Linked DNA regions of Kluyveromyces lactis. The main gene of each other region encodes a partner of the protein of the gene in region 3 in a complex. Links are inferred from orthologs where the notes say so. Each region holds a gene or a part of one and is shown on either strand. Other genes may lie near its edges.

What was found.
Region 1: MRPS12 (region 3) and MRPS16 share a complex: the UniProt entries of both Saccharomyces cerevisiae proteins name them as parts of the mitochondrial small ribosomal subunit. The link is inferred for Kluyveromyces lactis from reciprocal best matches to the Saccharomyces cerevisiae genes MRPS12 and MRPS16.
Region 2: MRPS12 (region 3) and RSM18 share a complex: the UniProt entries of both Saccharomyces cerevisiae proteins name them as parts of the mitochondrial small ribosomal subunit. The link is inferred for Kluyveromyces lactis from reciprocal best matches to the Saccharomyces cerevisiae genes MRPS12 and RSM18.

The regions. Positions count from the first base shown.
Region 1 is NC_006042.1:2,519,131-2,521,512, forward strand, and holds MRPS16 (mitochondrial 37S ribosomal protein bS16m), read right to left. Parts: upstream 929-2,382; coding exon 566-928; downstream 1-565. Other genes in the region: CIP1 (Cip1p), read left to right, coding at 1-40; mRNA-binding protein RRP12, read left to right, coding at 1,652-2,382. UniProt on the Saccharomyces cerevisiae protein: Component of the mitochondrial ribosome (mitoribosome), a dedicated translation machinery responsible for the synthesis of mitochondrial genome-encoded proteins, including at least some of the essential transmembrane subunits of the mitochondrial respiratory chain.
Region 2 is NC_006041.1:409,277-411,694, forward strand, and holds RSM18 (mitochondrial 37S ribosomal protein bS18m), read right to left. Parts: upstream 1,006-2,418; coding exon 538-1,005; downstream 1-537. Other genes in the region: protein kinase PKP1, read left to right, coding at 1-404; KLLA0_E04577g (uncharacterized protein), read right to left, coding at 1,235-1,621; KLLA0_E04599g (uncharacterized protein), read right to left, coding at 1,906-2,283. UniProt on the Saccharomyces cerevisiae protein: Component of the mitochondrial ribosome (mitoribosome), a dedicated translation machinery responsible for the synthesis of mitochondrial genome-encoded proteins, including at least some of the essential transmembrane subunits of the mitochondrial respiratory chain.
Region 3 is NC_006042.1:670,118-672,243, forward strand, and holds MRPS12 (mitochondrial 37S ribosomal protein uS12m), read left to right. Parts: upstream 1-1,092; coding exon 1,093-1,596; downstream 1,597-2,126. Other genes in the region: type 2C protein phosphatase PTC6, read right to left, coding at 1-41; ARC35 (Arc35p), read left to right, coding at 1,997-2,126. UniProt on the Saccharomyces cerevisiae protein: Component of the mitochondrial ribosome (mitoribosome), a dedicated translation machinery responsible for the synthesis of mitochondrial genome-encoded proteins, including at least some of the essential transmembrane subunits of the mitochondrial respiratory chain.

The DNA.
Region 1 (2,382 bases), about 1.8 Mb from region 3:
TAGATTACCCACACATATAGAAAATGAATCCAATTTATAGTTGCACTGGAACACAATTTGACTCGATGTAACATCATGAGCACTAATCTCCAATACAAACCTGAACATTACACCAAACATACCTATTAAATACTTGAGAAGTTAGACATTCACTCACTCATTCACAAAAACATAACATAAACCATCTTTTTGTTCTTGTAATTTTGTTAATATTTATGAATTTTCGGAAATCACATAGTTTAACAGTCAGTATTCCTCGATGATACTTCCCTCATTCAGGGAAATATATGCTGATGACGATTATTATTATTGTGTAGAATTACCTGATAGCATCTTATATATGGTGATATGTAAATTTAATCACTTCAATTTTACCGCATGGGGCCAAGCTGTTAAGTGTATGTAACTACTACATTGGTTTATGACCGGAAAAAGTGCCCGAATTCCTCTTATCAATTTAAGCCTATATACATGAGTTCTTGACCGTAAGAAAGCCTTGGGAGATGGTGATTTATGCCCTGATTATTGATATACCGCTTTTAATACAGTAATCGGAACAGCTGGTCTATTCTTCAAAGACTTCTTTCCTAGGTTCAATAACAACCCTACTACTTGTGTAGGTCTTTCCCCAATTTTCATCCAGGATTCCAGCTTTTCTCAATAGTCTTGTTACCGTATCACTAGGTTGAGCACCAACACCGATCCAGTATTTAGCTCTTCCGAAGTCTAATTCCACATCTTTAGTAGGAACAACACCTTGTTTAACCTCTTTCTTCGTTAATGGTTTTGGGATTGGGTTGTATGTTCCTAATACTTCAATTGGTTTCCTATTCAACGCCTTATGTTTGTTGGTAACAACTATGTTGTATACTGGGGTATGTTTCCTTCCGAATCTAGCTAGTCTTATCCTCACCAAACCTTTCGTCATGATTATTGTATTTCACCAAACTTGGCGTTAAATTCTGGTTTAAGAGACTTGGTTTACTCGCTCTGGTCGTCTTGATACATAATATGTTTGTCCTGTTATTACGCTTTTAATGTTGATTGAATTTTTTTTTCTATCTTTCGAAGGATTTTCAACACCAACTAAATAAAGCATGTCTATCACGTGATATAGGTGGGATATCTAACAGCCGTATGAGCAACATTCGTCTTAGGCGTTTATGGCGACATTACAGCCTAATAGTATAGGAAGTTGATCTATGAGAAAGTATCTATAAGTGAGAAAGTGTTTATTTACTGGAGTTAGACTGACGGTGGGAATTAGTTTACCAAAAATGCAGTCATATAAAACGACTTGGCATTACAAATAACATCGCATTCAGTAAAGAAAGTTAACGACACAAATAATGAAATAGTATGTTCTTGAACCCGTTTAGCAGACGCATATATACAGAGTTGGCATATATTAACCAAAATTTATTTACTTTTTATTCTCTGCTTTCTTCATTGCCTCACGATCCTTGCTGCTTCATCACTAAGGGCTTAAAAAGAAATTTTTCACAAGCTGTATAAAATTTTCAATCTAGCTCATCTCATCGCTCATCTCATCTAACAAGTAGAGACGAGTTATAATCAACAACACCTCAGAAAAGAGAATTACTGAGTTTAACTTGGGATTGAAAACTGACAAGCGAACAAATTGTGCAATATGGGTCCTGAACAAGCGTCCAAGCTTCTTGAACTTGAAGATAAGCTTGCTAAAATCAGAGGACAATCTACATCAAAACTAGAGAATCAGAAGCACATTGCCATAATCTTGGCTGCTATTGAAGAAAATATTAATGAGCAAGAGGCAATTAATAAGAACATCGTGAATTATCTTATTTCTTTGATGTCCTTGCTGGATCAAACTATCGATACAGAAACTGCGGCCATTAAAGATCTACAATTAGCAACATCAACGATGTATTTGTTGGACATCATTTTTCATTATACACCAAAGAAAATATTAAAGAGCAGGTTTGCTGATATTTTGATTAAAGTTGCCCCATGTATTACTGATGAAAAGGCTAACGCTCCTTTGATCAAATCCGCTCTTGGTTGTTTAGAAGCTTTGTTAATTGCCCAGGATACGCAAACGTGGAATAACACTCAAAATTTAAAGGTGACTCCAACAAGAGGTTTGGATGGTCTACTTGAGCTATCTCTAGATCCAAGACCAAAAGTAAGGAAGAGAGCACAGGATGCAATTACCAACATTCTAAAAAACCCTCCACCTGGTCCAACAGCAGAACACGTCGCATCACCTTTGATCTCAGCATTCGCTATTAATGCATTGGTATCCATCCTTGATGAATCTGCAACGATTTCCAATAAGAAGCTAAGAGCAATGGGAGGTGCAAGTGAATTGAACTCCAAAATCATTCATATTTTGAAACT
Region 2 (2,418 bases), on a different chromosome or scaffold from region 3:
CGGATCTAGAATACGTCCTTCAAGAATTGCTTAAGAACAGCTCGAGAGCACATATTGAAAACAACGTTGACAAAGATGTGGAAGTAACAATAGTGAAAAACGACGATCAACTTGAGATCAGAATCAGAGACTTCGGAGGCGGTATAGATCCACAGGTAGAAGACCGAGTCTTTGATTATTCTTTTTCCACAACGGTGAAGGAAGAGAAGGACAGCGGTATGAGCGATTATGTTTTACCTGGTCAAGAAGTCCAAAACGTTGCAGGTATGGGATTCGGACTTCCAATGTGCAAAGCGTACCTAGAGTTGTTCAATGGTACACTTGACATTCAGTCATTGTGGGGATGGGGTACTGATGTTTATATACGATTGCACGGTCCATCGGATAGACTATTCGACAAATGAGAACACTGTACTATCATTCAGTCCCGGAGCTTTCCATTGCAACGTGTTTATACTGTTAGCGCTATTTACAGATATAATCCTATTTATTGAGAAACATATATTCATATATACAAGAAGTTATCACATGTCATGATTAGCTTCTGTTTGCAGTTCTTTGAGGAAGCACCGATATGTCTTTGTGAACCTTAGACATCAAACCTATTGCTTGGCATCTCTTAATAGCCTTTGTTAGACGACGCTGGTTCTTAGCCGATAAACCAGTTACATCTCTGTGTAATATTTTACCCGTTGATGTCACAAATCTTGACAAGAACTCTGGGTTGGTGTATAAATCAAGTGGATTGATCTTCAATTTGTTGAATGGGTCAAACGATCCAGGACGTACCCCAAACTTCTTATCTAAATGTATTCTTTCTAAGGAGAAATCAAATGGATTGTAAACGGAGCCCGGCTGAAAGTTTTTGATTAACTTGGATTCTAGCTTCTTGATTGTGGGCTTGCTATTAGCTTCCGACATACCTTCTTTCAGAAGTTTTTGGTCAAGACTGTTGCAGACATATCTTGTGGTAGAAAAGAATCTTGCGCAGCTGCGGGAAAACATTTCTTCTGATGTGTTTTAATTTATTCAATCTCTCGTTAACAGGCGTAGAAAGGCCCGAGCGACTTGGTTGTTTTCCTTCTCTTGCTTGCTTAATATTCATGTTATTGAATAAAATTTTCCATGTTGAAAAGATCTCTAAATTTCAAAAAAAAAGAGATTGAAATAAAGGATACTTAAGTCATTGCCAGGCATTCAACCTTTTTCCTGTTGTCAACCCAGTTTACGCAGATCAACCTTGGAGGTGTAGCGCGATTGATCGGAAAGCTCTTGCAGGAAGTCGGGCATCCCTGTGGATCAAACCCGGCGCGCTCCAGCACCTACAGGCCGATGCAATCGGCCTCCTATTCTTTGACCTGGCCAAAACTGATGATCCGTTTGCTGGGTACCGGCGACGGTACCGCTGAGCGCTGCTATGCCGGCAGTCAGGTTGGTTATAGCCAGCAAAATGGAGCCGAGTGCCTACCCAGGTCAGCGGTGCGTTGCGCTTGGTCACGTGTGAGATTTCGTGTGCCAGCATCGAGGCTAGCTGGCTTTCATTGTCGGTAACCTGCAGCAGTAATGGATCTTTGATCAGCGGCGCGCTGGCGCGCTGCTGCCGCACGTAGAAATCGCCCATAGCCAGCCGTGGGCCACAATCAAACGTTTACCCCAGCTTTTCGGCAGGGTCTTGATTCTTGGCTGGATCTGATGGGAATAATGAATCAGTAAATAACTGCGATTCTGAACTAATTCGAGGATTTTATCAATATTGGTGTGATTTCCAATGTAACATCAATTCATCTATTATCAGTCAGTGTTCTATCCGCTCTGGTGGTTATTCAGGTTAAGTAGGTTAACATATAAACGTAACAACAAATTAAAAAGCTGGAAAATATTACTACTTTTCCAGCTTTCAATCCATTAATCGTTAAATACAAAACTTTCTTCAGCTAGATTGTGGTCTTTTCTATAACTCTCGTCCAATATTAAATAATCATCTGGTTGTTTAGAGCTTACTCCTTTCAACCAAAACTGTTCACCGTAAGCTATCAGCATTGCCCAATGATACTCAAGTTCATGGCTACGAAGACATACTGCCAGATAACTATCAATGGGCTTACATACTAATGAAGACGATAAAACCATTAATTCAGCCTCATCTTCTTTTTTATTTGCATACTTAACGATAATTGCTTTAAGCATTTCTACCCAAGTATGGAAATTAAAAACAACTGTTTCTTCAGGATCATCTTCGTCTTTAAAAACAACTCCATCAACAATTTTATCCTTATTAATCATTATCGACAACCTCTAACTTTAAATCTATCAAACAGCGCAGCTGCTTTCTTTCTACAAATAGCAAGTTGTGTCTCTTTAGATCTAGGAATGGCGAGGGGGGGTTAATAATTCTATTAATTGTATCAATTCTAATAA
Region 3 (2,126 bases):
TCAGCTGGCCTTAGGTGAATGAATGACTGGGTTTTACCCATCTCGGGTTGGCTATAATCACAATCGTGTTCAACTTAACACAAATGGTAACACAAGAATTAGCCTCACAATATCTTATAACCGAATACCCCAGACATATAAGAAAGGTTCAAGAATGCCAATTGAAAACACTTCTCTCGTGTGTGGCGGATGCATCAACGAGCCAAAAAAAAGAGCCAAACCCTTGTATATTCACTAGACTTTATTATAACTAGATTTATTTTCCTTTAAAGTGTACCTACTGTTTTTTTTTTTTTTTTTTTTTTTTTTTTTTTCTATACATTCCGCAATAGTGCTTCAACACTACCCTCTTCATATAGGAAACCGTCAAAATCTCACTAGTGTTTCATTACCACATGCTAGCGTGATATGGAGGTGTATATAAGCCATTGCTATCGTTAACTACCGTATATGGGGCTATCTTGACGCATTTTGCCAAATAGTGACGGAACGGCTGTTACTCGGCAGCAGACACCAGGAGAGAAAACTATCTGATCTTATGCACGTGATACAAAAACTAAAAAAATAGACAGTCGCTTTAACACCAGCCTACCTAATTACTCGAGCCCGGAAGTCAAACTACCCCGCAATATTCTATCACGCATAATTCAAGTAGTTGGTTCAAACACCCTATTTACCTGCACCCACCTTACAGCTTGATCGTCCATAATCCAGTATAGTTGTTTGATATTTCAAAATAGGAAATACAACAACTACCTCAGTAAGGACTTTTCTCGTAATTCGGAACCCGCATAGTGCAGCTGGTGTTCCCAACGAAATGAACAAAATCTTTTAGGTTAAAAGATCTCTCAAACCATGCACATTTTCTGAACAATTTCCCGGACATCAGCAACAACACATATTCGATCACATGACTTCCGAATATTTTCAACTATGATTTTTCATCATCAGAAACTGACAAAAAATTATGAAGCAAATGTTGAATTGAAAGAGTTATATCAATCGGTCAGTGAATAAATGTTGGCGTAAGTTCAACTCTGAGTTTGACTTACGTGCACTGGATCTTAAGAAACAATCCTGTCAAAGATACCAATGTTCAAACAGGTTTTCGGATTGAGCAGTAGTCTGACTAGACTATCGTTGCGTAATGTTCGTTCAAGCATAGCATTTGCACCACCACTGCAACAACGTTCTTTCTCATATACTTCACCAATACAAGCCACGTTGAACCAAATAAAGAGAGGGGTCAAGCCTCCTGGCCGTAAGAAGATCACTGAATCCCCAGATTTGGAGGTATGCCCGATTCGTAAAGGAGTTGTGCTAAGAGTGATGGTATTGAAGCCAAAGAAACCTAATTCTGCTCAGAGAAAAGCTTGTAGAGTGAGATTAACCAATGGTAACATTGTTTCTGCATATATCCCAGGCGAAGGCCATAACGCACAAGAGCACAGTATTGTATATGTTCGTGGAGGCCGTTGCCAAGATTTACCTGGTGTGAAATATCATGTTGTCCGTGGTGCCGGTGATTTGGCCGGTGTTGTCAACAGAATCAGCTCCAGATCGAAGTACGGTGTGAAGAAACCAACAAAGGAGTAAGATACCAACAGTATTATATTCTGAATTATCAACATAAAATATATACTTATGTTTATAAACTAGACCTTCATGTAAATATGCGAATAATCTATCTACTGGTTGCTCAATCTTTATGGCCACGTGACCGAAATTTTGTTCGGATGGTTTTTCCATCATAGAAAAGTGCTGAAAATTTAGTTAACAACGATTTCAACGAAAAGGTGCCCCTATTGGAACAAACAGAAAGAAAGATTCATCATCTGCAAGGAATTGGGAAATTTCGAAGAGACTAAACCTGCTCAGTGTTGAGGAAACTTACAAGTTGATATTGTTCCAAGTCAATTGAAGAAAAGCTCATAGACTTGTTCGAAAAAAAAGCCTGGGTGAACACTTGTGAGCCTTCTAATATCAATACATAATAATGTTACACCTTAAACCATACAACCTATTGGTCCAAAAGACATTAACAGAAGCTTTGGAAGCTTACAACAATGGGTCTCCTTTAACTTTGGACAGAATCATCTCCGACTTTGATTATACAACGTTACACA